Linked DNA regions of Caenorhabditis elegans. The protein of the gene in region 1 interacts with the protein of each later gene in a biochemical or structural test. Each region holds a gene or a part of one and is shown on either strand. Other genes may lie near its edges. The genes, in order: tni-1, pat-10, tnt-4 and lev-11.

Region 1 (7,001 bases):
CAAAATTAGTAATGAAATATATTAGCTAATTGCCATATTAAGCCGGTTAATAAAATAATTTAAACTATATTTTGGAAAGAGAAAAAAATTGATATTTTCATTTTTAAGTCATGAGTTAATTCGAAGAATTTTCTCACTGGAACTATTCCACATTTTATTCCGTCAATATAGCAACGGTGGGGAAATCGAAAGATCACTAATACAAGTTTTGTTACATGTAAAACTTTTACACGTTTTTAATGAATTCAAATGAATTGTTCATTGATTCAATATTCTTCTCACATATCAACAGTTTTTATTTTCACCTCCCAGTTTTTTCAAATTTAATAGACATAGATAAAAAGTTCGGCCTTTTTCTATCTGTGTTTTCCATTGACACATTTGATCAGGAAGCTAATACAACATATGGGTGGGTGGGCAGAGAGGTCCGCCACGTTTTATTTTTGCTGTTACTGCGTCGAATTGAAGGGCACATCAAAATGAGTATTACAACACGATCCACGGAGCTTAGCGTTGCTCTTCTCGAAACAAATGATCAGAGGAGTAGAAGACACAACGCGATTCCAGGAGAGCACTGAAATCCCATCAAAACGTTGCCCGAGCTCTGATGTCTTTAATGTCCAGCTCCAGGCCGCCACACATTGTACTATTCGGCGAGCCAGCCAACTGACACCAGCCGTGTGTCCTGTCTTTTGCTCTCCTGCCACCTCCTCCAGTTTTTTGATGCTACTTCAATACATTCTGTCTGATCGCAGCCAAGCACTCGCAAATCAAATCTCAGCAACCCCCGCAATGCGACGGCACATCGAAAGCTATTCCCATTCTTCATTCCAGAATCTTCTTATTTCTTTTTCTTCCCCTTTCCTTCTTCTTCGTCATCTTATGCTTCTTCTTTCTATCCCTTTTCCCATTTATGTCTTCTAGTTCAACTCATTTCGTTTTCAGCCCATTCAACTGTGCTTCTTCTGCATATTTTAATTTCAAAACTTACTTTCAGAGTTTTGTTTCTTTTCCATTACAAAAACTCGAGACTTGTCTGGAATGAGAATCAAATCATATACTTTTTAATAAATATATTTTTGCTCACTCAATCTATGATGAAAAAAGAAACTACTTCAACCAAAACTGAGTATTCAGTATTCTCTCCCCTTTTCCTGCCTCTAGCTACATAATAAGACCTTCATTAAATTTTTATTTGTGCTCACTTCTCGTTTTGAAGTCTTTCTATTCACTCACATCAGTCGTCGTTTTTCACGCACTACTACTTCAAATTTGTATGTTTTGAGCAACGTAAAATTGTTTCTACCACCAATTCTTAGATCCGAAAATTTCATTTTTAGTATTATAATTTGATTACTATTCGCTGTCAGATTCATGACCGAGGCTAACAAAACACGCAATGAAACGCCTTTCAAGAAAGCCATTACACGATAATTACCGCTTAAGCTGTCAGTTTCGGAAGCCCTCGCGAAAAAATGGTGTATGCTCATTTTGTTCTCAGAGCTTCTGCAGAGCACTTCACTCACTTCGAATTTTCCTTTCAACTACAATTATTGTCCTTCTATCCACCACCTTTCCTTGCTTCCTAACAACATCCGCTCAACTAACAACTCTCACCTTCACGTTTTTGGTTTCAAAAACTAAAACACTCGCACTGAATCAGTTGGTGATGGCCATTCCACCATAAATTCATTGTTTAATTTTAACTTCCCCTATAGCTTCCATTACCTTTTTTCACCTAACATGTCTTTGCGCTTCTAACTTCGAAAATCTTATGTTTTCCGATATTATTTTCTCCCTCTGTTCACTTCGCTCGCACTTGCACTGTCCCAATTTAAACATCACCACTCGCACATAACCACGTTAAAAATTGTAATGTTTGTTATTTGTAAAATTTTGCAGATTGAAATTTTCAGAATGTATTTAAAATTTCAAAGTACTGCGATAGGCGTACAGGTTATTGTAATATACTCCTACAGTGGTTCGAACAATACATTACAACTAAACTGACAAAGTGTTTATTGGAGCACCAAAATTGGTTCATTACCAACAATAACAATTTTGAAACCATGTCTGAAATATATGACGATCATGTACCTAATGTGTTTTTTTTCTGAAAAACAGTCATAAATTTGGTAATCAATTGCTCCAGAATCTCTTGGCTGAATACAAGGTAACCAACACAATGTTGTCGTACTTCTTCACTTCTTACATCAACCTGCCAAAGTGAGCGCATGCATTTCAGTCATTTTTTATCTTTTTAATATACACTTACTTTCAAATTTTTGACTAGAAAGTTAGTTGGATCTGCACTAATGTTTCAATCGCTTAATAACACACCCATCACTAAGTCTTCCTTTATTTATTTTTTTTTCGAACAACATTCACTGAGCTGATAAAAATACCGTTTGTGTGCGTATCGTTCCAGCAAACCTCACACCCAAACACTTTAGACTCATTCCGTTTCATGGTTTTGCCTCTTCTATCAATCTGTTTTCAATTTGAATCCCCTTTCTCACGTTTACACACACCCTTGAATACCTTCACACCCACCGTACCTCTAACGCTTTCCACCAATTGCTTGGCACATCCCATAGTAGTCGTAACCTTTGTTTTCTGTAAATGTGCTTCTAATCAATTTGCATTTAAGGACTTGAAAATGAGCCAAATTGATGAGAACATTCGCTACGGCGGAGCTGCCAACGAAACCGATGGCGAGGTAAACAAAACAAAGTCATTTGTGTTTTTGAAACGATATTGTTCAGGATGCCCAACGAAAAGCCCAAGAACGCGAAGCCAAAAAGGCCGAGGTGCGCAAGCGCCTTGAAGAAGCAGGACAAAAGAAACAGAAGAAAGGATTTTTGACTCCAGAAAGAAAGAAGAAGCTCCGCGTAAGAGAACATTTGACTTTCAACACTTACAGATTCATTTTCAGAAGCTTCTTATGAACAAGGCTGCTGAGGATCTTAAGACACAGCAATTGCGGAAGGAACAAGAAAGAGTCAAGGTCCTTGCTGAAAGAACCGTTGCTCTTCCAAATGTTGACAGCATTGATGATCACGGTTCGTTCAGTGCTTTAGGCAACAAACAAAATTGTGTATATTTCAGCTAAGCTCGAGGCTATCTACAATGATTTGTTCTCCCGCCTCTGCAACTTGGAGGAAGAGAAATATGATATCAACCACATCACCACAGAGACTGAAACTACAATTAATCAACTCAACATTGAGGTTAACGATCTTCGTGGAAAATTGTATGTCTTTAAATAAACCCAGCAGTGCTAGTGTGTTTTCACCTGCTCCAATTCCGCATGACATGAGAAAAAACTATTTTCAGCGTAAAACCATCATTGAAGAAGGTGTCCAAGTATGACAACAAGTTCAAGAAGATGGCTGAAGCCAAGAAGGAAGATGGAAGCAAGAACTTGAGAAATAATCTCAAGACAGTAAAGAAAGAGAGCGTCTTCACTCAAATTGCCAACAAGGTAAGTTTGTAATAAGTTTAACTGGAATATAAAACTAGTTTTTACTTGAACTGTCAAGAAAAACATGTTAACAAAAAGTAGCCTGCCAGAAAAATTTCTAGAACACATATTTTGTGTTCACAATATTGAAAACTGGCTGAAACAATACATCAATATAGAACATTAAATACAATGTTTAAAATTGACATTTAGAATCCAAAAAACTCAAAATAATAAATTATATCAATTTGTAGTACTCAGAAACATATACTTATTTTATCAACATAACTTTAAAAATTGTTTTCAAATTGATATTTGATGAATTGAATTTACAATAATCCACATTTCAGAAGAAATCTGACAAGCCAGAATGGTCCAAGAAGAAGGAAGAGAAGAAGGAAGAAAGCGCCCCAGAACCAGTTATTGAGCCAGTTGAGGAAGAAGAAACTGCTGCTTCTGAGGGAGAAGAAGAAGAAGAAGAAGCCGACGAGGAATAAATACCGGCATTGTTGTCATTATCTTGTTCACTGAATCTAACTAATCATTCTCGCGTATAATACATTTCATCAATTCAATTTATGTGCCTTTTGAGTTTGAGTATTCTTAAAATTTTGTGCATGTAAAAGGTATTTGGCCCTTTTTTATAAATCTTCATTTGTTTTGTTCTGCCGTTATACTGTTTCAAAATTTCCAGTATACATTCTTTGTATTCTTTCAGTAATATTCCATCTTATTCTTTTCTGCATATTCGCAATAAATGAAGTTATCACCAACCCGGAATTACAGAGCAAAACTCGAAAGCAGCACAGAAAGGCATTTCTATTTGTGTGAATTATCCTAACGATTTTCAGCTGTCAAACTAACAAATGTAAATGAAACAGGGAATAAGGCAAAAACACCTGGAAACGCAAATCGCCGCCTTCTCCGACGTCACCAAGTGTAACCGGGTTGAGACGAAATAAAAGGAGCTCGATAAGCCATTTTGATTCTGAGTTAAACTCGAGATTGGTTTAATATGGAAAGAGTTCAATTTTCATCCTACGATGAAATGCTCCACTACAACTCACGAGTTGCGAATCAATTCCCAGGAGTTGATTTGAACGTTTTTCGGAAGATTCACTATCTGGAACTTCTGTCACAAATGTTTGGTATGTTAGTTCACAATTTTTTTAATACATTTATAGTTTTTAGGATTCCTATTTTACACTTTCTACCTGATAATTTTTCTGGTTCACGGAAAAACATTCTTCATCTCCGAGCACACATTCAAAGCGATCTTCATTATTCAAATGATCACTTTCGGCGCGGCACTGGTCATTCAGAAGGTATTCAATTTTAGTTTTAAAACTGTAGCATCACACAATTTCAGTTTTCCTTTATGGTCAACTCGGTAGAATATGTTACGTACTCAACATTTCCATTTATTCCAAAGTTTGTGATCTCCATTTGTGATCGGCTAGTAACGGCTCAAATGCCTTTGTATTGGTTTGTTGTCAGTGCTTTTCTCATAATTCAAATTGCCCAATTCGCTAATCAAAAGTATGTGTTTCTGTCAAAACAACATTCTAATAAATACATTTTTCAGTCCACGCGGAATTAAACTGGCACATACCTACTTGATACCTTACGGAATAATCATTACCCTCATTTCCTTCATTACCCCGGTAATATTTTCAAGAGAAGCTCAGAAACTAGGAAATCGTTGTTTTCAGGATCATATGAAACTTTTTATGATCGTCGTCTGCTTTCTAATCTGGTGGATTTATCGAAAGCATATGATTGCCCAGTTGTACAGCCAAGACATGACCGCCCGCGACGTTTTGAATATGCGCCGGATGAACATCTGGCTGTCCAGTCAGGTGAGTCTCATTAAAACTCAATGTGTTATATCAATAAATTGGATTTATTACAGATTTTCGGGACACTGATCTTCCATCTGCTCGACTTAGGAATGATGCTGGCTATCAAGTCGTCTGTGACTGACACTGGAAGACAAACCTATTACGGATTCTATAAGAATGAAGTAACAAACCATTCAACAAACGATAAAAATCAATGAATAAATTTTAGGTGTTTAAAGTGGTCACGTGGATTGCCACGTATGCAAATGCATTCATTTTTGCCTGGTCAACAATCAATTTCATCAAAACCGACGCTTCTAAGGAGCCGACCACACTTCCAGTTTTTGTTAATGGTTCGCTTCCAATGGATTCACTCTCGCGTCGCCCGTCTGCAATCTCTGCGTTTTCCATGAACAACGTGGCACCGATCACCCCACGTGGATCAAATATGTTGCATATTTAACGTTCATCCATTTATTAATATGTTTTAATCAAACAATAGATTTTAATAAAAACACAATTTTGTTTCATTCAGTACAAGTATGACAAAACCACCATCAACTTGATAGATAAATAGTAAACAAGGAATGGATCGAGCTGAGATAGGCAGATTGGATTTTGGGAAGCTGGTGGACATGGAGGATGGGATAGAAGGAATAAAAGCAATAAGCTCTGGTTCTACAGAAAACGTCGAGAACAATTTGAAAAGTGGACTTAAATGTTAAGGAAAGTGGGAAGGAGGATGAATAACCGCATTTGTGACAAATAAACTATTATAAAATTGATGACAGCTTTACATATTGTAACGATCTTCGTAATTGTTGTAAGGATGGTCCGACATGAATGGCTGGCGGCTCATGCTGAAAGCAAGACAATGCATATTTAGAAAACCTTGTAAACAATTAAAGCGTTTCAAGGTTGCTTCTCCAACATTTAGTTGTTACCATTTCAGTGCACAGAATAATTTGATCCTACTTGAATTTATGGCAGGATTTTAAAATTAGAGTATGTTACATTTCTCAGGAACATATCGTTTTGTATTTAACAATCTTGCTTTACAGCTTTTGGCTTATTTCTTATTGCCCTTTTTAAAGTCGTTTATCAAATGAAGGGATTGATTGAAAGCCCAGGTTAACTTCTAATCTTTTACTTGTTAAAAATAAAAAATAAAAGAACTGTTCGGTTGGCCAATATACTTCATTAATAACTATATTTTTGCTTTCGGATGTCGCCTATGAAATCTATTTATTACTGATTTTGTGTGTTTTTACCGCTTGGAGGTTTTTTGGTAGTTCATACACATCACGCAATTTCAAACTAAACAGCTGAAAAAAAATTAATCATTGTTTCAACCCTCGAATGACATTTTCAGCTTTCTCAAAATTCACGAATGCAAGAAAGCAAAGGAGGCATGCAGTAGATTGATAAAGAAGGGGATTACCTGTTTGAGACCAAAGGTACAGTAACATTTTGACTCCAAAGAGGCGCATTTGGTTCATCTGCTGTTCCAGATGTTGTGTTTGTTGATGGTTCCGTTCGATCTCTGTTGAAATGATAAAGTGTAGGTGTGTATGTGATGGAAAATTAAAAGAAAAGTGAGATCAAGCTGATAAGAGAGCAGAGAAGAGCTTGTGCAATTGCAATTAGAATATCTAACTCACCTAGTTCTTGGATTATAGACATGAGTACCGTAAATG
Region 2 (7,025 bases), on another chromosome or scaffold:
TTTCATCTTCAGCCACATCCGTTGAAATGTTTGCCGTGGATGTTGCAGTCTGAATATTAATGTTGAACCTTCAAATTAAGCTAAGAACTCACCGATATTTTTATTGTGTTATCCTTTTCTTTACTCAACTTCTTGCCAGGTTTCTTTTCACGAGGATTTTTCCCTTTGAAGACATCCCGACTTAAAATGCTTTTTGGTTGCAACTTTTTCAGAACGTTATAGTGCATGTTGCTTGCATTCTGAAAGAAAAATGCGTATGTCTTGTTAAGAAAGTATGAAATTGTATATTTTCTAGTTTGGCTCCACTTTAAATTACTCTACAAATAGCTGCTCAGAAAGTGCAGGCGGGTGACGACTAGAGATTTATTCCAGAAGAATTTTTGAAATTCGGCGACTTGATTGCAATCCAGTGGTCTAAACACGCGTTATTCATGTTCTCGGAGCAATAATTTACCGAGTAGATGTGGAAACTGAGGTGACCAATTTCTCAAGTTTCAGGCTTACTGTATACTTCTGATTTTAAGAAACCCAGTGTTTAGTTATTTTAATAATAATATTTTTGTTGAAGCTCCAGCATACGGATCGTCCTAAATCTTGCAAAACCGGACGCCGGTTTTCCAAGCAAACGTTCAGCCGGTACAATTTGAAGAAAAAGTCCTCACCCGACCAATACATATCGCGTCGTTTGCCATCTTAACATCTGGATCTGGAGCAACTGACTCAATCAAATGACGAAGAGTGTTTGCAGATTCCACAGAAACCGGTCTTTCAACCAAAAATGTGACTTTTTCTCCTTTCAAAATTCCCGACAGTTTCTCACGAATGAAGTCGTCATTTTTCTCTGCGTTCAGAATGGATTCTTCATTTATATCCATTATCAGATCCCCACGACCAAAGAATATCGAAGCGAGTGAGCTGGGCTCGATTCGAGTTACTATGCCACGTTTTTGAATATATGTCACTGTAACTCCAACCGTTGCACTTTTCATTGCGGAAGTCTGGAGTAAATGGTATTTATTAAGGGGTGGACATAAGTTCTAGGTATAATCCAAAGTTATTTTAAACAATTATTTTATGAGAATTTTTGTTGTCAAGCAACAAGCAGTTCGTCACATTTCGTCAAAAAAACTTTCATAATTTCGTCTTTAATTTTTTAAATTAAAAACAATTCATACTCAAAAAACATGCAAAATTCTAGAATTTAATTGGTCATTCTGTAACTCCGTTCAAAACCTCATTGCAAAGTTCAGATTTCGTATATTTTCGAATAAGATAATCATGTCGATTTTTCTTCAATTATACCTTTTCAACTTCAATAACAAAGCACGTATTGTCCCGTCTCAAAACACATCCCGATTTCTTCAACCGTTCTCTGGTCGCTGGGATAATATTTTTCCGTCTTGTAACCTCAACACTACATGTTTCACCTTTCATGAGCTCTGTCTGATACTTGGATATATTTCCACTGGCACCGTTCACCTTGACTATTTTGTCGCCTGAAAGAAAAGTATTTTTAATCTAGTTTTTTAAACTGGTTTAATACATTAATTGGAAAAGTGTAAAGTGGAAAAGAAACTAGGGAGTCTTCCGAGGAAAATTGACTTTTCCTGGCTCAAAATGTATAATTGTGGACAGAAGAGTTTTGAAACCCTTGTACCAGTCAAACCAATTTTTGCCTATTATTTTATCGGGGATAAATATACATTTGTTCGGCAAAACATCACAACTTCATAGCAAACTCTTGCAACTTGAAACAAACATTTATAAACAATTGCCAAGAGATGTTACAAAGTTGCAAAAACCGGAGCAGTTCTAAGCGAAATGTTTCATAAAGTTTGCCAAAAGAAATTGCAAGAGTCATCTGAAAAGCTGCAGAAATTTGTTAGAAAACTAAAGTAAATAATGGTTTGTAAGAAGTTGCAAGATTCTGTTATGAAGTTGGCCCGCTTCAAAATAGTTTCGGGTTATCCGGCCGTTGGAAACTTACTCAATATCAATCCATTGTAAAACGAGTTTGTTGATAGGAAAGAAACCATCGAATTCTCATTAATTCTAATAACTTCATTCGCAGGCTTTCCGACATCTTTTTCATCAATCTTGAATGAAACTGTCATATTTACAGTTTCCACATTCTGTGGGATCGGTGTCAGCCAACATTCTTTCATCTTTTTGTTCGTATTCTGCACTTTTTTCTTCGACATTCTTCTTCAAAAGAAATAACGTTTTCCGAAGTTACTTGTTAGCTCCAAACTCACGATTATGGTTTCCTTTTGAAATCCGGAAATTTAGTGTCAAATGATAAATAAGAATGATTAGAAATCTACCTCCTCCCCCTCGACTAAACTGAATTGGAAAAACATAAAGTTTAAATTCAAAATGGTGTGTCACGCGATAAAAAGTTACTGGAGAAACTTGAGAATTATAAAATAGTATTCAAATTAAACGTTTGATATAAAACTGTAAAGATATACATACTCAGTGCACATTTAAAAAAACTGAAAAAAAAACGTTGTTGTGTTCTGAAGCCCAAAAAGGCTAGATGTTCTGGTCACCATGTACAGCTAAGAATCCAAGTATTCTGGGAAAGTTCAATTACATATATTGCCTGTCAACTCCATTTCTGTACTTAATTCTACTCCAATTATATTATTTTTTTTCTATTTCCTGGACTTTTATTGATCCTTGGTTGCCTGTCCCCCCAATCTTTCTTCGTACTCTCCTCCCGTTTCCCCTTCCTTCTCGGAGAGCCTTGTCTCTCGAATCCTGTGTTTCGCAAAAATCATCGTCAACTTCCACACAGATATCATTCTGCGTCTCTTCGCCCTCTATGATCTCTCATGCCCGTTGATCAGGAGCATCTGTCACCCAGTGTAACACCAAGAATGTGTTTTGTGGAGGAGACGATGATGCCGTTGTGAGAAAGAAAAGCCCGCCCTCGGGTTCCTCCGCCTACTCGCTCCCGCCGTTGCTTCTGCCCGACGAAGCTTATCCAGAGCACAACAAACTCCGACAACATGGTGAGTCCCGCTTTCTCATGTCTTCAATAAATTTCTTTTTGAATTTTTATATGTTTATACTTTTATAGGCTGAGGATATCGAAGAGATTCTTGCTGAAATCGACGGATCCCAAATTGAGGGTAAGATATTTTATATTTATGATTGAAAAATCATCATTAAAACTTTCTAGAATACCAAAAGTTCTTCGATGCCTTCGACAGAGGAAAGCAAGGATACATCATGGCCACTCAGATCGGTCAAATCATGCATGGAATGGAACAGGATTTCGATGAGAAGGTAAATCATTTTGGAACTTTTGGTTTATGTAGAGTTAGGGGATCTTCAGAAGAGTGATAATTCAAATTAGGAAGTTTTCAACTCTTTTAAATTTAGGTTTCACGGTAATGATTAGGTAGGCCAACTGAGTAAGATAACCGAAAATATAAATGGGTTACTCTTGCCTAAAATTTTGTTTTTATCCGACCTATCTTCTGCGGCTTGTTTCTCAACTGAATTCAATTAATTTTCGCCACTAAAACATGTTACTAATGTTTGTGAAATAATTAATTTTGATATTCCATCTGAACAAAAGCATTTATTATGTCGACTAAAGTAAGATATAACTATATGTTATGAAATTTAGTTATAGAATTGATGATTTTGATTTTTCTAAATCTATGTGGCATCTAACTTCATTCTTTTAGACCCTTCGTAAACTGATCCGCAAGTTCGACGCTGACGGTTCCGGAAAGCTCGAGTTTGACGAGTTCTGCGCTCTCGTGTACACCGTTGCAAACACTGTCGACAAGGAAACATTGGAGAAAGAACTTCGTGAAGCTTTCCGTCTTTTCGACAAGGAGGTTTGTACTTTTAGATTTTGCTTTTTATTCTTTAATTATTAATTTTTCAGGGTAACGGATATATTTCTCGACCAACTCTGAAGGCTCTTCTCAAAGAAATCGCCGATGACCTCACCGATCAACAACTCGAGGAGGCTGTCGACGAGATTGACGAGGACGGTTCCGGAAAGATTGAGTTCGAGGAGTTCTGGGAGTTGATGGCTGGAGAGTCTGATTAAATTTTCTAATTCCTTTAAAATGTAAGTGTTCGAGCTTTTTTTGATTTTATTCAAAAACTAACTTTTTATTTTTCAGCGCTGATCTACAATCTTCAACTGTGGGGACCAGTCACCAACTTTTCATAATTTCCTTTTTCTTGAAATGTTAAATTCATTTCACTTTTTATTAATTTTCTTGTCATTCTTTTGAATGAATAAAAATGAATAAAAGTCTTTGTACATCCACAGGCTTATTGGAAGAGTGTGACCAATTTGAAACGGCCAAAATCAGGAAATAATCAGAAGAACTAGACTTCTCAAATCCTTTAACACAACATCAAATCCGCAGTATAGTGCTCCGTTTTCTCTTGACCTAAAAAAACGGGAAAAGTCCATCTACGGGGAATGGAATGACAAATCTCTATAAATATAGAGATTCACCGTTGCAACCTTGTTGTTTGAAAGTGAAGTGTCTCTAAATAGAATGAAAATTATGAAAAATGGAAAATGTATTAAATCACTGCAAATGAGACCTCTACTCTGCGGCATTACAGTTTTTACCGTTTTAGCGCAACAGGACAGTTTTTGTAAATTTGCAAAAGTAAAGTGACAATTCTCTATGTAGATTTTCTACGAATGAATTTCAGGATACTTGTGAACTTGCAAAACAGTTTTTCACTATTTCAATTGTTCCAAATCTAAATTCAACAAATCCCTCTCTTTTTCTCTATCTGTGCTCAACTCTTTTCTATATAAACTTAGTGTAACATAGGCTTTATCTTTTTCTATCCACTTTCCCACCAATATCCCTCCAGGAATAGAAAAGGGATTAACGGTGGAGACTCCAAATAGTGTCCATCACATGCAGCTACTATTGCTCCAGAAGCCCTTCACGAGTCTCTCTGCCGTCTCTTTGCTTATCAGAGCCCAGATACTTACTATGGAAACCATCAGATGGGAAAACGAGAAGAAGAAAGCAGATGTAAATATAAATTAGAAAATAAGAAGAAGAAGAGACAGACATAGAGTTGTCCCTCCGTTTCTCTTTCTCTCACTCCCTTTCAAAGCGCCACGTGTTAGTTTCTTTGAAGTAGGTACAAATATTAGGATGCTCTCAATGTCTATAATGTATCTGGTTTACTGTAATTCTATGTCTCTCATTCTGAAACACTGTTTTTAAATTCCTTGCTTCATTCTTTAGCTACCTTGCTTCAACTCAGAAATAACAAAAACAAGTGTTTTTCTAGAGTATTTTTGAAAGATAACTGCTGAAATCAGAACTGCAGTAATTCTCTGAAAATAAAAATTTAAATAAAATACACAATTCTTTTAAATACTTTAAAAAAAAATATATTTTTAGCTCACACGACTTATCAAAAAACATCACTCTGATTGTGAGAAAACTCACCAGTTTTTGCTGAAAATTTTTTAAATTAAATTATTTCTTACATGTCTTAGATTACTTTTGAAACCTGAGAAAACTCGGTCACTCTTATTGTTGGAAAACATATTCTTCAAAAATAGGCTCCACATAATTTAGCCAAGTTTTTGAAAAATCTGATAAAATAACTTTTTAAATTTCAATCTATCACCAGAAACGGCCAAAATGCACTTCTCAACTGTTCAATATGCATTAACATGTAACCTGTGCCAGAAAATAGAATCCTTTGAACCAATGATCGATGTTCAAAAAAAGTCGATTTACGTATGAAAACCTTTTTATTTTCATTCTCCATTTCCTCAATCTCTCCCTTGACCATTGTCATCTTATTGTCTATAAATCTATTTGACGTCAGAATTCTTGTTTGATTTCAATTTCAATTTCAGAGAGCTTTTCAGATTCAATGAGTTCATAAATCCACCTCATTTCTATTTTATCTCTCATTTTTCAATTTCCTGTAGTTCTCAATTCCAACTTAATCCTTTTCTCTTTCTCTATCCCTATTTTGTCATTCTGCCCTTATACTTCTTGTGTCAATCTTTTTGTGTCATACTATTTCCGTTGGCTCTAGCTCGTTTACCATTTGAACCAGATCATTTTTTATGTTTTACCTTCGGGAACTGTTGTACTTTTTATAATTGGAGCTCACAAGTTTTTTTTTGCAATTATTTTTGAGCAACAATGTATCTTCCACAAGAGACAATTGCCAAAACTTTATTTTATTTAGAACCCGTTTTGCCAATTAACGAATTTTTGAAGAGAAAATTGGGTAAAAAAAGTAAAAATAGCGTAATTTAAAAATTAAAAATTATTTTTTTTAAAGCATATTAACATTTTGTACAAAATTATAAATGGAGTAGAGACCGTGGGGAAACAAAATACTCAAAATAGGTGAATAAACTGAAAATCTGAAATCAAAACTATTATGCTTTAGCTTTTACTGAACTTTCTGCGAAAGTTCTGGCAAAAATTTTTTTATTTCTTCGAAAATTTTTGAGTATGAACATTCAAAGCCCTGCAAAGTTTAGAGATCCTTAATTAAGATGAAACCGATTTTTTCCTTAGCAGACAATGCAACAAAATCAGGGAAAAACAATTTTTGGTTGAAAATGGTTTCTAAAAAAATTGCAGTTTTTCAATATCTCAAGAAAATATTAAAATCTTTGTTTTAACTTGAAAAGCTTTAGTTTGGCGTTTCTCATCATCCAGTTTTCCATTCCCATTTCCATCTTGTCAAATCTCGCCCATTTCCTTAAATTTCAAATTGCAGTTTCCTCTAGTCTCCCATCTCCAATTCTCCCGTTTTGTGTAGTCTCCACTTCATGAGCATTGACCGAGGCGACCGAATCATTGTGCAGATGATGCGTTCGGTTTGTTGTTGTGGGAGAAGTGCGCAGGTTGCTGATTCTAGTGATGAAGTTATTGGAAAACAACAGCTGAAAAATGTGAGTTTTTTGCTGTAAAAATCATTGCAAAAAATTTAACTAGAATTTTATTTGTTGAGAAAAAATAAATTTCGAACAGGTAGAC
Region 3 (9,274 bases), on another chromosome or scaffold:
TACTCCACCTTTAAAGTTAAAAAAAAAATCTGAACCTTTTTGCATTTCTAGATGATCCAATTTGACTTGTTCTTTCTGCCTTTAATTAATTTAAATTACTTTTATATAATTTTCAGTTCGTCGCTGCGATCCAAAAATGCTTAAAAGAGTTCTACGGCGGAAATGCCAAGGAGAGCAAAGACTACTCCAGAGTCATCAATCAGAGACATTTTGAGTGAGTTTTTTTTCTTTAATTCCTCCAAAAATCAATCAATTCAATTTTCTAGCCGCATATCCGCACTTCTGGATGAATCGAAGGGAGTCGTGCTTGCTGGAAATGAAGAATCCCGTGATCGCTCGGATCGTTTCATTCCACCAACAGTCCTTGACGTCGAAAAAACAGATCCATTTATGCATGATGAAATTTTTGGGCCAGTTCTGCCAATTATCACTGTCAAAAACCTCTGCGAATCCATTGATTTTATAAATAAAGGCGAGAAACCATTGGCTGCCTACATTTTCACCAAGGATGAAGCCAAAGTTCAGAGATTCCTAAATGAAACTACAAGTGGTGGTGTAACTGTTAATGACGTCATTATGCATGTTGCTGGTAAGCTCTCTAGTGAAAAATAAAGTATAAAAATAACTCTGACTTTCAGTTATAACCCTGCCATTCGGAGGAGTCGGAGTATCCGGAATGGGACGGTACCGTGGAAAGTTCGGATTCGACACCTTCACCCATGAGAAATCGGTCCTTCAAAGAGTTTTTGCTTAAAAGTTTAGTGATGTATGAATAATTCAAATTTTATAAGACTTAGATGCAAATAAAGCGTATTGTTAACTTTTTTCAGTAGGCGAACGTCTCGCTAGGCAATTTTTTGTTGTTGATTTTTTTCTCAGATTTTAAAAAGCATTTTGAAATTGCAAAATTTAGCAAAATTCCAATTAGAAGGAAATCTTTATTTTTAAAATTTTATATTTGAGTTCCTACGCAAAATTTCCGACTTTTTCCGTGAAGAAAACATGGTCACCTGCACAAAAATTTGCTGAAACTCCAAAATTAGCTCAATTGATCAAATAACTGTATTTTAAGTCTCTTTTATTTCGAGGAAAAATGACTGTTTGACAAACCAGATATCAATGGAAATGTACATTAAAAAAAACAAATAAGATTAGCCAAAAAGCTTGTCTATTCATTTGCACGGAACATGAAAAATACTCTACATAGCCACTTTTATTTGATTGAAAAAATCATAAAAAATGTAGAAACCATCTATAATTTTTTACAGTCATTTTCCTGTATATTGATACTTTTTCCGGTAATTTTTTGCAAAAAAAACCCGCAGGCGCTACTCCACTTTAAAGTTTTGTAAATTTTGAATATGAAATTAACAAGGGAAGTCGAAAAACTGAACCCCGGACTTTGACATGCCATAGTATTTTTTTGATAAAAGAGTGAAAAAAATGATCTCTCCAAAAAATTTAGCTGCCACGGTCCAGGTTTAGCAAAGTTATGACGTTTTGAAAGTGCAGAAAAAAAATCACTCAGCAAATCACTCACAGCAAAAAAAACTCGAATTTTCAAAAAAAAATTGTTTTCTAAAAATTGATAAAAACTATTGCAACTTATCCAAAAATGTGAAAAACATATATTATGCACATTTTTTCTTCCCACGGACAAAAAACCACATTGCTTGATCTACATATCTTGAGCAAAATTCCAAAAAGTACTTTTCCTTGTATTAGGTCAGTCAATAAGTTTTGTCGTTTTTTCTCATCTTTGATTTTTTCTTAGATATTTTTTTGTGATTATATAGAAGACTGTTAGTAATGATAAGCCCAACAATATCAGCCATATCGGACTACTCCCAGGTATTTTAAATCTCAGAACTGTGATGACGAAAAAAAAATTTTTTTTTCGATTTTTTTTATTTTTTGGCGAAATGAAAAACTTTTTATGCCCTGATGTATTAGACAGTTAGTTGAATAAAAATCTGCAGTTAACGCCGCATGCGTAGCTTTTTGGTGGCGCTACACTCATTAAAATGACCAAAAATGCTTGCAAAAATGATTTTTTTTAACTTTTAGTGGCGGTAACTTCAGAAACGTGAATGATACCAAAAAATAATCAATTGTAAAATTATTTTGCATATCAAGAGCTACATTTTATCAGTTTACTACTTTTTTCTATCTTCACCCGCTGCTAAGTTACAGTCAGTTGAAACAAACCAAGTCCAACTTTTAATAAACACCCTTTTTCCAGATTTTTGCCGGTAACTCCAAAACCAGTTGTTTTCCAAGATTTTTGTCAACAGATAAAACAATCTCCTTTTAATTTTACACATTTTCGTAGTTGAAAGTTTTGTTATATCTTAAGTGTTGGCAAAGATATGAGACAATTAAGCGAGCTCGTCCAATTTTATAAAAATTTTCAAAAATCATCGTGAAAAAATTTCGTTAAAAAAATTTTCAGAGGAAAAGGCCTAAACATTTTTGAAAATGAATAAGTTACTTTTAACTAAAACTTTGCATATACTTTCATTTATCAGCTTTACTTTAGTGGAGAGAAAAATAGAACTTTGGAGTATTTTTCCATTTTTAAAAAACTACGCATATTTTTTTCTTTGATGAGTAATATTCTTGCATAAACCTTATGTATAACAAAATTTTCAACTACAAAAATGTGAAAAATAAAAATTTAATTATTTCAGCTCTTGACAAAAGTTTTGTCAAACAAGTAGTTTTAGAGTTACAGGCGAAAATCTGGAAAAAGGGTGTTTATTGAAACTTGGACTTAGCTTGTTTCAACTGACTGTAACTTAGCAGCGGGCACAGATAGGAAATAGTGGTAAACTGATAAAATGTAGTAATTGATGTGCTTATTAATGTTGTAATTGATTACTTTTTTGTATCTTGCACGTTCCGGAAGTTAGCGCCCTTCAAACTTTAAAAAGTCATTTTTGCAAGCATTTTTGGCCATTTTAAGGAGTGTAGCGCCACCAAAAAGATACGCATGGGGCGTCAACTGCAGATTTTTATTCAACTGACTGTCTAATACATCAGGGCATATAAAGTTTTTCATTTCGCCGAAAAATAAAAAAAAATCGAAAAAAAAATTTTTTTTTCGTCATCACAGTTCTGAGATTTAAAATATCTGGGAGTAGTCCGATATGGCTGATATTGTTGGGCTTATCATTACTAACAGTCTTCTATATAACCACAAAAAAATATCTAAGAAAAAATCAAAGATGAGAAAAAGCGACAAAACTTATTGACTGACCTAATAGGTTAATTTATGGGTTTTCTTGAGAGTTATGAGCTAAGACTTGCATGGCATATGTTTTTCGCTGTTTTGAATCATTTACAGATATTTTTTCCACTTTTCAGAAGAAAAAATTTTTTTTTGAAATTTTTGAAATTTTTTTAAAAAGGTGGTCTAGCCACTTTCAAAACGTCATAACTTTGCTGAACCTGGACCGGGGCAGCTAAATTTCTTGGAGAGATCATCATTTTCACTCTTTTATCGAAAAATTACTATGGCATGTCAAAGTCCGGGGTTCAGTTTTTCGACTTCCCTTGTAAGCATTGAATTTAGAGGGGAATCCTTAAAATTTCTGATCCAAATCCATGAGTTAGCCATTTCAGATCCTTGACTAACCATCACTTCCTGACTTTTTTTCCTGCTCACTTACCACCAGTTCCCCTGTCTCCACCAGAGCACATCACCGATCGCGACATGATTGTACACACAGGTAGCTCTCAAGAGAGCTTACCCGCGATTTGCCAGGATACTCTCCCAAATCTCTCTCATGTTTCCATGATCTTTTTGCGCAGTTTGCGGGATGAGAAAAGAAAGCTAACATACACTGTACGCCCACCGAAACTCGAGATCCGCCTCCCCACTACCACTTGTTGGAATTCATTGGGGTGGGCAAACTTTGAAGACACTATGTAACACTTGCTCTTCTTCCCCTTGCTTCCAATTTATGTTTCATTTCCTAACTTTTGATTTTTTACATTTTTTCAGGGGTTTTTTTTACAACCAATTCACCAATCAACATGTCTGACGAGGAATAGTGAGTTGAAATTTAAAAAATGTTATATTTCAAGTTTTAAAATTCCAGCTCCGAGTACGAGGATGAGGAGGTAGAAGAGGAGGAAGTCGAGGAGGTCGAGGAGGCTGAAGCCGAAGAGGAGGAGGACACCGAGCAGCAAGAGGAAGAAAGGTTCAAGCGAGCTTCTGTCGACACCACGGCAACCGGTGGTCCAGCAACACCGGCTGCTTCTTCGCACGCTCCTGTCTCTTTCGAGTACTTCTTTTTTTCAATTCTTTCCTATCTTATAGTAAAAACTACTAGGCTTTTCTTATCCAAGACCGCCGTGATCTCTCTAATCAAATCACTAGTACTGTTGAGTGGAAAAACTTTTGAAAAGCCTGCGTCTCCGCGCTCGGCCACACTATTTTCTTCGCACTCAAGCACATACACTTACGGCATCACTGTTTGCACTTTTTTCTTTCTTTTCACAATTCCATTATCCATGCAATATTGGAGTGGGTTAGAGGGTCAGATATTTGGAAATAGTTTACTTTTAAATGAGCAACCGACGAATCGAAGTATCCGATGAGAACACATCTGTATTTTTGTATAAAGTAGGAGCAGCCGACATATTACGGGACCAAAATATCATTAAAATCATGTGAAGTCGGGCATGCACTTTTGTTGACCTTCGAGATGTCGGCTGCAAAGTTTTACTGACTGTCATTATGAAGTATGAGCTGCCGACATTATACGGGATCCGGCAATTTGTAGAAGGCAGCTGGCAAACCTCGGGTTTCTCAATTGTCGGCTGCACACTTTCAATGGCTAGTGTAGGAATAAGAGCAGCCGACATATAACGGAAATCGAGATCTCAATGAGAGAGAGATCTCAATATCCGGAACATTTTATTTTTTCAAAGCCTCATTAAAAAACAATTTGCCCTGAAAAATGTCGGTTGCTATCCTAAATTGAAAAAAATTAATTAATGCCAAATATCTAACCCTATAAAATCACTGAGACACTACTAAATCATCACATTCTGAAAAAATAAATTACCCTAACAATATGCATTTTTCAGCGGAGAAGCTCTAAATGAAGGTGAGAAGGCTATGCTCGCCGCCAAGAGACGTCACGAGAACGACGAACAGGCCAAGTTGGAAGACTACGAGAAGGCTCGTCGCTCCGAACGTGAAAAGGAAGAGGAAGAGTTGGAGAAGCTGAAGGAGAAGCAAGCTCAGCGTAAGCTCGCCAGAGAGCAAGAAGAGCGTGAAGCTGCCGAGCGCAAGCGTCTCGACGAGGAACGTAGACAGAAGGAGGAGCAGGAGCGTCGTGCTCGTGCCGAAGAGGAGAAGAAGAGGAAGGAAGAGGAGAAGCTGAAGAAGGCTCAGATGATGGGTGGAGGATTCCCAGGACAACAGGGTGGAAGAAACTTTGTCATCCAGAAGAAGGAAGAGTCCGCCGGAGTTGGAGATCGTTTCGGAAACATCGTGCAGGCCAAACAAGAGATGGGAATGACCAAAGAACAACAGGAAGAGGCTAAGTCGGTCGCCATGGCCGGTATTCGTAAGTCGATCGCCGAGGCTTCCACCATTCTTCCAAATGATATGAAGGCCAAGATCAAGGAGCTTCATCAAAGAATCTGCAAGTTGGAGGCTCAGAAGTACGATTTGGAGAAGAGACACGAGAGACAGGAGTACGATGTAAGTAGTCTTAGTCTTAGGCTTCGGCTTATGTTTAGGCTTGGCATAGTCTAGGCTTAGGAATAGGGTTAGGATTAGGCATATGCTTGGGCTTAGGCTTGGCGTAAGTGGCGAGCGGTAGCTAGGCTTATTAGGCTTAGGCTTAGGCTATGACTTAGGCCAAAACTTACTGATTGGCTTACTAGGGAACCATCAGAAGGTGCCCATCGGACTTGCATATGAAACCTATGCCATTCGATAGCCTATGTCTTAAAACGGTTACTCGTGAATTTTTAGCTGCGAATCTCCAGAACCAAGTTCACGGCGAGCTCTCAAAGATCCTAAAATAGCACTATAATGAAGCATTGAATGGCCAATATTCCTAATTTACTTTGGTAGCTCATATCTCCGTGGATAATTTTTTTAGAGAAAAGTCATCAACTGATAAGTTGTTGATCTTTTAGTAAAGAACAAATTTGTAGTTGAAAGTTTTCCACCAAAAAAATTCTGTTTCAGATAGAAGCGCGTGAAGTGCGGCAACTGTTGTTACTATTTTATTGCTGCTATTATAATGTTTTTATCTGATACAAAAAATTGTTGGTAAAAACTTTCAACTACAAACTTGTTCTTTACAAAAAGATCAACAACTTATCAGTTGATGACTTTTCTGTAAAAAATTTATCCGCCGAGATATGAGCTACTAAAGATAATTAAGAAAATTTCTTCTTTAGATCGTTACAGTGCTTCGTTACAGTGCTATTTTAGGATCTTTGAGAGCTCGCCGTGAGCTTGGTTCTGGAGATTCGCAGCTAAAAATTCACGAGTAACCGTTTTAAGACATGGGCTATCGAATGGCATAGGTCTTATATGTAAGTCCGATGGGCACCTTCTGATGGTTCCCTAGATAGGCTGCAGCATAGGCAGATTCTTTAACAATTTAACCACTGAAAATACGGAAAGTTTGCAAATTTCAGCTGAAAGAATTGAATGAGCGTTCCCGTCAAGTGGCCCGTGCCAACAACGCCAAGAACGGACAAGTCAGCGGAGACGACACCGGAGGAAGACATCCAGTATGTTCATTAGGATTTTTGGCATTAATAGACAAATTATAATAACTAACAAAATTATTTTCAGCCAAAGGTCCAAATCTCTTCCAAATACGACAGACAAATCGACAGAAGAAACTTCAAGGAGCGCCGTCAGGTTTATGAGAACGTAAGTTAAAACATTTGTTTGAAAATTGAATTGGGGGCTGGTTTTTATCTGAGAATTTACAAAACCCTGATTTTGGAATACCAAAAAAATAGAAAAATTAGAAAATTTAAAATTGGTTAGGTATGTTATATTCCTAATTTTTTGTATTTTCAGCTTACCTAGTTTAATTCAAAATTATTCGATTTGTTACCATGTTTTTTAATTTCCAGAAAATCGCATTCCCATGCTTCCCAGGAGTTGCCCCACCACCGGCATTGTACGAGAAGGTGATCAAGAAAATGGACTACGAGATTCAGCAAGAGCTTGAAGCCGCCGAGGAAGAGGAAGACTATTAAGTCGATAATACCAATAAAAAAACCAAAAAAAAAAATCATTTATCCAAGTAGTTTTTATCTTTTTTTTTTTGCAAATACGTTTAATTGTTGTTCAATTTTTCTCTGAAACTTTCAGAAAAATCCAAAAAAAAACCCTCTCACTTTATGTTCCCATCAAACTTTTCCCAATGTCTAAAGTTAAAAATAAAGTTGAAGCGGAAATATTCTGTTATCATTTCAGTTACTGACCTCAATTAATAAAAGCGGAAAGGCGGGCGAGAACGTGGCACTAGAATGTTATCACTGAAATTGAAATAGTTCTTGTTCTGATGATGATGTTTGTGGCTATTTCGGGTGGCTTCCTGAGGAAAAGATCAAATAAGACCGAAATTATATAATTCGACACTTACAAAAAAACCCATTTTATGAGATTATTTTTTTCTGAAAAATTATATTTTTTTCAATGTTTAAATTTTTGAGAAAATCAATTTATTAATTCACCGCTTCGGAATGTTTGGAATTTTTAGGGGTGTCTTCCCGCTTATTAGCCTAGACCTACCTACCTACATGTCCGGCCATCACCTACTCGTTGCCTGCCAAAGCTTTCTGTATTTACTTTATTAGTAAAGCCTCCAATCTTAATTTTCAAACTCCTTCTTTAATGTAAGTAATATATTTTTTGAAAAATAGTTTCACATAATGATATGTAGAGGAAATATGACAATATTGTATTGCTATTCTATTTCTAAAATTTAGAAAATGTATCATACTTTTTGGAATTTTTGAACTTATTAAATAATATTAAAATTGAATTCAACACTCTTTGGTCGATTTATGAAGTGTGCTTAACTGAAAATTTCGTTTAACATGATACTGGGTTTTACAATTAAGCCGTTAAGTACTTACTGAAAATTTACGTATTCCAACTATTAGGAATATTTTTTTGCATATAAAAATAAGGAATTTTGCATCAGAATATTATTATTGAGATGTTTATTATACTTTTTTAATTTGAATTTTTAATTGTAATTAAAAAAAAGTGTTCCAAAAGCCCAATAAATATTTGATTTCCTGTCGAACTTATTTGAAATTAAAATAAAAAGTTTTTTTTTAATTGAAAAGTATCGAGCACTCGAAGAACATAGCAAACGATAAGACAACAAAAATGCGCGGCGCCGAATAAAGACCTGCCTACGTGCCTGCCTTCCGCCTATTTTGTAATTAATTTAAAAAGCATAAAATTGATATTAAGTTTAAAGGTTAAACTGTAGTCACTTCGAATACCGCGTATAAATATTAAAAAATTTATAAAATTGTTTAAACGGTAATAATAAAAACATAATTTTTTTTAAAAATTCTATTTGTCTAGATAAGAGTTACACCGGAAGGAGGAGAAAACAGTAAAAATTATGACCGAGACAAATAAATAAAATGACAAATTGGATCGGTTCATTTTTTAAATATTTTTTTTTTTGCAAAACTATTTTGAATGGCTGATTCATTTTGAACGGCCGATTTTTCTAAACTACTGTAACCCTACCGTATGCCTGTAGTACCCCTACAGTACCCTACAGTACCATTACAGTACCTTAGCATCAACTCCCAACCGATTACCTCTTCAAAAACAAATAAATTTAAAAAAACACTCGGCGGGGGTCGAACCAAGGGAAGCGTTCTGCGCGATAGGCAACGCTACTAACCACTTGGCCATGAAAAAAGGGGGAATATGCAATTTTCGATTTCACACTAAAGAGCCCACTTCTATAGCTTAACTTGGTCGTAGAATTTTTTCAAAATACTTATTGAAAAGAGATCCTCGAGTTGTATAAACTCCTGAAAAATCATAACATAATCTCGAATACTCGAATTTTAATTCAATTTAAACCACCCGAAAATGACGAAAATGAACGATTTTTGGACTATACCTTGAAAATCTCGGCTCAATAAGCTCTTATCGAAAAGCGGTAAAATACGTAACGTGAGGAACTTCTTTTTTAAGAGGTTTAAAAAAAGAGCTCAAAATTTCATCCATCCAGCGCCGAGCTAC
Region 4 (7,997 bases), on another chromosome or scaffold:
ATTGGTGAAGAAGCGTCGGTTAGCGAGAATGAGGTGTGTGTGTGTGTGTGTGTGTGTGTGCACTAGTGGAATAGGAAGAAGAAGAAGCACAAAAACATGAGCATTTTTTCGAAAAAGATATGTACGAGAGAACACATGGGTGTTCTCATTTGACGAGTATATTGAAATTTGGAAATTTTATTAAGGTACTACCGTAAATATATACACATGCATATGAATGAATATACATTAACAGAAAACCGGAAAAAGAAAAATGTACACTGTTTTCGATATTGCTAAAAACATCAAAAATCCCCATATCCGTTCAAAAACAATATTGTGTTATATTGTTTTACAGTAATGAAATTGGAGGCAAACTGTCCCCAACTACCGGATTTTGTAATGAGACGTCTTGAAAACTTCTCATTACGAAATTCGGTCTTTTTGGGGCATTTTAGTCTAATAGAGCAAAAATTGACTTATTTAAATATTAAATTATTAACCTGAATATATACTGAAATGGAACACCGACTTAAAATAAAAATTGATTATAAGGATTTTGTTTAAGTATTACCGTAAATATATTCAGTAACGGAAAATCGAAAAATGGAATGTGTACACTATTATAGTAAATTTTGATACCGTTAGATAACAATTGCATGTTCAAAAATTTGTATTGAAAAAATTACTAAACCTGACAAAAATTGAATATATACTATATTATACTGTATTAGAACTGTTATTGCTATATAGCCTCTAATGGGAAATGATTATTTGCTATGGTAAATATCCGGAAAATTTTAAGTTTTTTTTTAAAAAGCGTAGCTGAGTAGTAAAGCTTAATGAAATAATGCAGTAAATACGAAAAATGCTAAATTCAGACAGAAAACCACAGTCTTCAGGAAATTTCGGCTGACACTACTTATTTTCATTAACGTTCAATTTACGATAGCGTGCAAAAAGTAACAATATTTCCTCTAGCCTTATGTAGACTAGAAGTTATGGTAATCACGTTTGATATAAAATTGGGTTGAAGTACTTAATTTTGCGAACTTATCTGAAAATTGACTAATCCGTCAATGCATAATTATAGTAAATATGTCATTTTGAACATTAATTCGGATAGAATGAAATTTAGAAAAGAAGTGTCTTTTCTTTTCCGACACATCCAATACGAACAGATATTATATAACGAGGTCCCCCTAGTCATATTACATGCAAGACTAATCGATAGGAAATAGTGTAGCAAGTAGCTGGTACTATTCATGGATCTATTTTTCATCACCATTATATAATCGTAATACATACATACATGCATATATACATGATCACGAATCTTAGTTGACATTAAATTATCACGACTTATTTAGAAATACTGTCTATGATAAATAGTTTTAACAAGTATTCTCCTACAAAATCATTAAATATAACCCTAAATTCAAAATAAACCACTACTATTATACCTCTTCCACATAATCCACTGATATTATCAAACAAGTTGCCCTCTTGACAATAAACTCTCGAACGCCAACTGTTTCGAATGTTTTGTCGTCGGCTGGATGCCACAATTGCTTCTTTTCGGGGATAAGAAGAAGAGCATATACACACAAGTAGTATTGGATTCTAATGTCAGGATTTCAAAAACTGAGACTCTGATCATTGACCGACTTTTGGGAATCTGAGATAAAAAAAAAGAACAATAACAAAAAAAAGTTTAAGGGAAGTAAATGCGTTTCTATGGATAGTGGGTAGGGCTGTACAAATCGGCGTCCGGTCGTCCGATTTTGACACCACCGGACGCACATGCGTCCGGTTGGGGGTAGCTATCCACGACGGCCGACAACTTCCGAGTTTCGCCACTCACTATACTTAATCAGCAATTTTATAGTGAGTGGCGAAATTCGGAAATTGTCGGCCGTCGTGGATAGCTACCCCCAACCGGACGCATGTGCGTCCGGTTCGAACTTCGGACGACCGGACGTCCGGTTGTACAGCCCTAATAGTGGGTAAAGAGAAATGGAAAAATATGGGAATGTATGAAAATTGGAAAGATGAAATGTGGTACTTCTTATTGTAAAATTAGACACTAATCAAATTCCGGAGAACAAAGCTATGTAACATGGCACTGTAAAAACTGAGCTTGTCATATTTTTTAAAATTCAGTTTTGATTGTTCAGTTTTCTTTAAAAATTCATTCATGAATAGTTACAGTAATAGGATATCTTATATCACGTGTGCATTAGTGTTGCAACCCTTTCCATAAAGTTTCAAGGTTCTTAAAAAAAGGTTCAACTGGAAAAAAACCATACTTGTAGCATACTCTTTCGTAGTGTAATATTACTAGGGAAGCCCAGATTTATGATATCTGTTCATATTGGATGTATGGTGAAAGGCAATATGATTTCGTTATGTTAGGCTTGAAGGCTTGTTAATAGGCTTTAAAAAAGGCTACCAGTAATGTTAATGTTAAGGTTGAAGCCTTGTTAGGCCTCGAAAATGAGACACTTATTTTTTAATTTTAACTCCATTAATGTTCAAATTTAAGGATGTCCTTAAAAATGTAACTAATTTTAATGACACCATTACTTTAATAATTTATTAAAGTTTTAGTCAATCTTGAGTTAAATTTTCGAAAATTTTGCAGCAATTTGATTTTACATCACTTATGGTTATTATTACTAACAGTCTAGATATATAAGAAATATCGTTACTATTTGTACGATAACGTAATTAACAATCAAATTGATAATCGTTTCAATTTTTTAATGTAAAGAGGCTCAGAACGGCTTTTGCCACGTCATCAAGCGACCACGCGAATATCGGTCCTGGAACACCATACCACCTTACTAATTATGTGGTTTTTTTTTAAAGTTTTGTTCCTTTTTCCATTCCACGAGAAACCCTTCTTCTCCCCAATCATCATCTTTTCCATCTGCCATCGGCTCTTGCTCTTCTCCCCACAATTCCCGTTGCTCCGTGTGTGCTGTAATATGCTCCAGGGGGGTGGGTGGGCAGGGATCCCATAGGCATAGGTCTCCACGAAATCAATACTATCTAATCATCTGCCACACCCCCGTCTGATGTTGTGGAGGAAGTGAGAAGAGAGAAGAAGAAGAAGAAGAAGCGGGGGCTCGTGTGGGAGGAGTCTCGTGAAGACGGGAACCTGAAGCTAACGGGAGAAGAAGAATCATTCTCCCCTCCAATTTGAATCGTCGATACTCCGTGTGTTTCAACACAACAACAAACTACCAAAAATGGACGCCATTAAGAAGAAGATGCAGGCCATGAAGATCGAGAAGGTTTCCACACTTTTTTTAAATTTTAATACTGTTTTATAGTGAATTTCTTCAACTTTTTCAATTTTAAAATTAGTAGTGGTCATATACATTCCAATATTTTGAATTTTTCCTCAAAACCATATACACATATTCTAGGACAACGCTCTCGATCGTGCCGATGCCGCTGAAGAGAAAGTCCGTCAGATCACCGAGAAGCTCGAAAGAGTCGAGGAAGAGCTCAGAGACACCCAGAAGAAGATGACTCAGACCGGAGACGATTTGGACAAGGCTCAGGTATGGGTTTAAGCCAGAATTTAGGCTCTTTGCGTATATTTTATCGATTTTAAGACCCCATATAAACTGGCTTCCTAAATTTTCGCTTAGATCTTGGTTTGATAAGACTTTAAGCTATCAGATTTTTACCAGGAAGCTTAAAAATTCATGAAAATCGCAGGAGTTTCTAGAAGTTCCAAAATATTGTCTAGCTTCTACTTTGATACCATATATAATTAGCGTATTATTAATACCTACTTTCTCAACTTAAAGCCGCTATCCCGGAAGATTTTGGCCTGAAACTGAGCAAAGTTCTGAAAAGCAGAAGTTGAGCTCTAAATTTCCTAATTTTTTGGAATCAAGCTTTTACAATACCTTATATATAGCGAATTTTGATTACAGTCCGATTTCAGAAAACAAAATTTTTTAGAGACACTGGCGCTCAAGTAACCTATAAAATCTTAAAGTATAACTAAAAATCACCCTAAAAACAAAATTCGAAATTCATAGTGCAGGGTGCTCAATTTGTAACTTTTAGCCCTAAAAATTTAACCTGGAATCTAAAATTTACCTAGGACACCACTAGAAATCAAATTCGAAGCTCATGGTGCATCGTCCACCTAGGTCTACCTGTCTCCCTGGGCTTATGCTCCTAAGCTGAAACACTTAGGCTTAAGCTAAGCTAAAAGAATAAGCTCAAAATCAAACTTCCATTTTTCAGGAGGACCTCTCCGCCGCCACCTCCAAGCTCGAGGAGAAGGAGAAGACCGTTCAAGAGGTGAGTCGACTTTCTTTTTAAAGCCCAATCCGGGCAGCTTTTGGTTTCTAAACCGACTTCAGGTATTTCCAATTCCCAATCCACAAGCACAACGACCAGGTTTGTGGCGCGATGTTCAAAGTCAATTAATCCGTTAATTAGTCAGTGAGTAGTTGGAATGAAGAGAGAGAGATACATACATATATACAGCTAGTTTTCCATTCCTGTCCTTTTGGGCATGAAAATGAGTGAGAGAGGGTGACGTTGATGATGATCCGCGGTTTTTTTCTCTTTTCCACCCTCTTTCTCTCACTTCCCATAGGCTTCTTCCCCCACCGGGGTAGCTATTGTTTTGTGTGTGTGTGTGTGTCTTCTTTTTTCAATAATGTTCATATATATATATATATATTGTTTCTTCAAATGTTTGGTATACATTGTACTGTATTCAATCATGATTCACTTTTTTCATTCCGTCGAGAGTCAGAGATAGGGTACTGTAGAAATCCTTCTTTCCCGAAAAAGACTTGATCAGGGTGTGGCTGTTATCTAGTTAGCATGTTATATAACATTATGTAATGATGTTCAAACCAGATTGGCATCACTTTTAGCTCGGTTTTCCAGATTTCCCAATTTTGTAAGTTGTCATTATACTGTTTTATTGAAAACTGATTGTGAGCAAAAAGTGTTGTCAATTTATGTAATTCCCTTTAGTCATTGCTATACGTTCTTGAAAAAATTTTGTTGGCTTAAAACATTCTTAAGCTCCGGCCTTAGCCAAATTTTGCAAGGCTACTTTTCAATATTTCGGAAAATTCTAAGTGGTGCCATGTGATATTTAATTTTCTAGCTTAACAAGCTATTAGTTTTCAAGTACTGATCCTAAAAATTTAAAGCTTAGAGCAGTGGCATTTTTTTTGGAATTTCACTAGTCTGGCGGTAACTTTAAGCGAATGTGATCTATTAACACGTGGTGCCAGGTTGTCTCATTGAAGTTTGATCTACAAAAAATGTGGGAATTTTTAGTCAGCACATTCTTAGCCATGCGAAATCAGTTAAGAACTGTGCGTCTCTTCTCCCGCATTTATGTAGATCAAACCGAAGTGAGCCACTCTGACACCACGTGTAATATAATAATCCAGCAGAATTCAAATTCCTCGTGGTGATTTTTCATGCATTACTTTTCATAGTCTTCGAAAAAAATGCTCAATATTTCCAACTTCGGAGTATTTCAAGTGTATGTTAAGCCTATTTTGAATCCCACGCATCACCGAATTTATCTAGATTCCTAGAATATCTACAGTGCATTTTTTTCCACTTCTCCAACTTTAAAGGAGGGCGCATTTATACGAAATGGTCCCGCCACGCGGCCCAAAAATCAATGCGTGGCGGGACCATTTCGTGTAAGTGCGCCCTCCTTTAAAGCGGTAGAAGTGGAAAAATATCAGTGATTTTTAGGAAAAAAACCTTTTTTTGTCGAGAACTTTTTTCCCTCTCCCGACGTTTTTTTTGCACACAACTTGGCGCGCCGAAATCCAATTTCTTTGCGAAAAGCTCAATCCCATTTTCCGTTACTGCTCAAATGAGCGAGAGGCGAAGAAGAAGAAGAAGATAAAGTTCGAGGAGTGTATGAAGTGCTGTTGGGGGCTTCCTTCCCCTGCCTGCGCCATTGTCTAATCTCTAAGTCTCTCTAGCTTCTCTCTCTCTCTCAATTTCTTCTCTTCCAACTGATTACAACGAGATGTTTGCTTTACAACAACTCCTCCCCGCCAATAGGCTCCCGAGGGCTCACTGAGCATCAACGGGCGGCGCGGCGGGAAAGAGAGAGAGAGAGCATCTCCCCCGCAATTTCAAGAAACGAGGAGAGCTGTGTGATCGGCTTCTCGGCATTTTTCAAGGGGCAAGTGAATGGCATGTCAGTTGAAATGGAAATAAATGAGAATAAATGAAAGCGCACACACCAAAATAGAAACTACAGTAGTGCCTAATGGGTCTCGCCACGATTTTCGTAAAAATTCTAAAATTCCTAGGATTTTCTTCCGAGAACTAGGCAAATGCGCTGCATTTTCAAATTTTTTAAAGGAATTTGCAGGGTCTTAGGTACTAATTTCTAGGGGTTTTATTTGACATTTTCAGGCGCTTATTGCGGAATTTCTTACTTTTAGTGTCAGGCTGTCCCATTACTGTTTGATCTACAAAAAATGCGGGAAATTTAGAAAGAAATTACAATAGTACCGAGTAGGTCTCGCCACGGCAAGTAGACGCAAGTTTTGACTCTTTTTGTGTAAGGTTTTCGGTGGAAACTACTCTACAATTCCCAGGGTTTTCCCTCAGATTTTGGTTCTCAGATACAAATTTCTAGGGTAGGCCCTTAATGCGAAAATTCTTACTTTCGGTGTCAGGCTGTCCCAATACTGTTTGATCTACAAAAAATGCGGGATTTTTTGTGACATCAGCACGTTTTAACCATGCAAAATCAGTTGAGAAGTCTGCATCTAAATCCCCGCCATTTTTGTAGATCTAGGTAGATCACACCGAAATGGGACGTGCTTTTGAAGGGCAACTTTTGAGCGCCCAAAAGTTCAAAATTTTGGGGAATTTTCCCGCCTAGCTAACAATTTTTCCTGAATTTCCAAGTTTGTTCGGCCAGTGTTCCCAGTTTACAAAACTGGCATTGAACTGTCATTCAGCTCAAGACCACCTACCAATTAGAGACACCTTCGGTACATACACCCCAGTCAGCCGGTTTCCCGGTCTCCATCTCTACCACAATTTGAATAGAACATGTAATTCGGGTAAATACTCGACGTCTTTTCTTCCTCTCTCTCTCTCTCTCTCTCTCTCTCTCTCTCTCTCTCTCTCTCTCTCTCTCTCTCTCTCTCTCTCTCTCTCTCTCTCTCTCTCTCTCTCTCTCTCTCTCTCCAATTTCCTTCTTTTGTTGAAGAACACGTCAATGTACCGCCCTTCCGGTCAAAACACTCAACAGGAAAAGGAAAGGTCTCTCTCTGTATTTGGGAAGAAGATGCCAATCTGCGTTGCAATATTCTTCGCCCCCTGCCTCCTGCAAAAAGCTATTCATCAAGCCACGTGCCATTGTGTGGGACATCTCTTTCTCCTTCTATGTCTCTTTTGGAAGCTCTTTCTATGTCATACAACATAGTATTCGATTACTAGTCACTTGGCTTCACCCAGATGGGTCCAGTTTCTTGGAAAAACGCTACTTTTTTACAGTAAAAACATAATTTTTTGGCTCAAATTTTGAAATTCTCAGTGAAATCCTTTATGTCAGAAGAAACTTGACATTTTTTGCTAAAACCCGCAATTTTTGTCCAGTTTTGGAATTTTCTTATAGTTTTCTTGTTCCTGTCTTTCCCTGATTTTGCTCGTGGTGCCAGGCTGTCCCATTACGGTTTGATCTACAAAAAAATGTGAAATTTTTTTTTCACTCTGACACAACGTTGCTTTGAGCATAAATTTTGAAGTTTCTTGAGCATTCCCCTGAGTTTCTGCCAAAAATCGAAAAAATTCTAGGCGGTTTTACAATAAAACCTTGCTTCGGACGGTTTTCAAAAATAGTATTCCACTTTTAGCCAATTTTTCTAAGTATTTTAAGCTATTTTGGGATCCCACATGGTGTCAGAAAGTCTCATTACGGTTTGATCTACAAAAAATTCGGGAATTTTTTCCCAGAAAAATTGTGAGGCCTTTAGTCA

What was found.
Region 2: the proteins of tni-1 (region 1) and pat-10 interact in far-western blotting, tested with the Caenorhabditis elegans proteins (2 studies listed by BioGRID).
Region 3: the proteins of tni-1 (region 1) and tnt-4 interact in far-western blotting, tested with the Caenorhabditis elegans proteins (one study listed by BioGRID).
Region 4: the proteins of tni-1 (region 1) and lev-11 interact in far-western blotting, tested with the Caenorhabditis elegans proteins (one study listed by BioGRID).

Annotation. Positions count from the first base shown.
Region 1 is NC_003284.9:11,373,120-11,380,120, reverse strand, and holds tni-1 (Troponin I 1), read left to right. Parts: upstream 1-2,650; 5' UTR 2,651-2,659; coding exon 2,660-2,719; intron 2,720-2,765; coding exon 2,766-2,891; intron 2,892-2,935; coding exon 2,936-3,062; intron 3,063-3,108; coding exon 3,109-3,253; intron 3,254-3,336; coding exon 3,337-3,484; intron 3,485-3,813; coding exon 3,814-3,960; 3' UTR 3,961-4,234; downstream 4,235-7,001. Other genes in the region: F42E11.3 (Brp/Blh family beta-carotene 15,15'-monooxygenase), read left to right, coding at 4,512-4,611, 4,655-4,788, 4,833-5,002, 5,049-5,127, 5,176-5,322, 5,376-5,522; ttyh-1 (Protein tweety homolog 1), read right to left, coding at 6,098-6,164, 6,746-6,847, 6,966-7,001. UniProt on the Caenorhabditis elegans protein: Troponin I is the inhibitory subunit of troponin, the thin filament regulatory complex which confers calcium-sensitivity to muscle actomyosin ATPase activity.
Region 2 is NC_003279.8:5,016,053-5,023,077, reverse strand, and holds pat-10 (EF-hand domain-containing protein), read left to right. Parts: upstream 1-2,991; 5' UTR 2,992-3,014; coding exon 3,015-3,017; intron 3,018-3,085; coding exon 3,086-3,137; intron 3,138-3,187; coding exon 3,188-3,294; intron 3,295-3,701; coding exon 3,702-3,857; intron 3,858-3,907; coding exon 3,908-4,075; 3' UTR 4,076-4,096; intron 4,097-4,151; 3' UTR 4,152-4,295; downstream 4,296-7,025. Other genes in the region: C46H11.6 (PDZ domain-containing protein), read right to left, coding at 1-49, 93-239, 663-998, 1,303-1,496, 1,988-2,201; F54C1.6 (Protein-serine/threonine phosphatase), read left to right, coding at 6,818-6,940.
Region 3 is NC_003283.11:1,987,651-1,996,924, reverse strand, and holds tnt-4 (Troponin T, skeletal muscle), read left to right. Parts: upstream 1-4,011; 5' UTR 4,012-4,038; coding exon 4,039-4,055; intron 4,056-4,103; coding exon 4,104-4,289; intron 4,290-5,097; coding exon 5,098-5,719; intron 5,720-6,672; coding exon 6,673-6,768; intron 6,769-6,832; coding exon 6,833-6,913; intron 6,914-7,122; coding exon 7,123-7,248; 3' UTR 7,249-7,450; downstream 7,451-9,274. Other genes in the region: alh-5 (Aldehyde dehydrogenase), read left to right, coding at 117-214, 267-589, 639-754.
Region 4 is NC_003279.8:14,626,196-14,634,192, reverse strand, and holds the start of lev-11 (Tropomyosin isoforms a/b/d/f), read left to right. Parts: upstream 1-3,098; 5' UTR 3,099-3,233; coding exon 3,234-3,278; intron 3,279-3,413; coding exon 3,414-3,551; intron 3,552-4,251; coding exon 4,252-4,308; intron 4,309-7,140; exon of another isoform or gene 7,141-7,213; intron 7,214-7,997. UniProt on the Caenorhabditis elegans protein: Tropomyosin, in association with the troponin complex, plays a central role in the calcium dependent regulation of muscle contraction. Involved in muscle actin filament organization and muscle arm extension and morphology.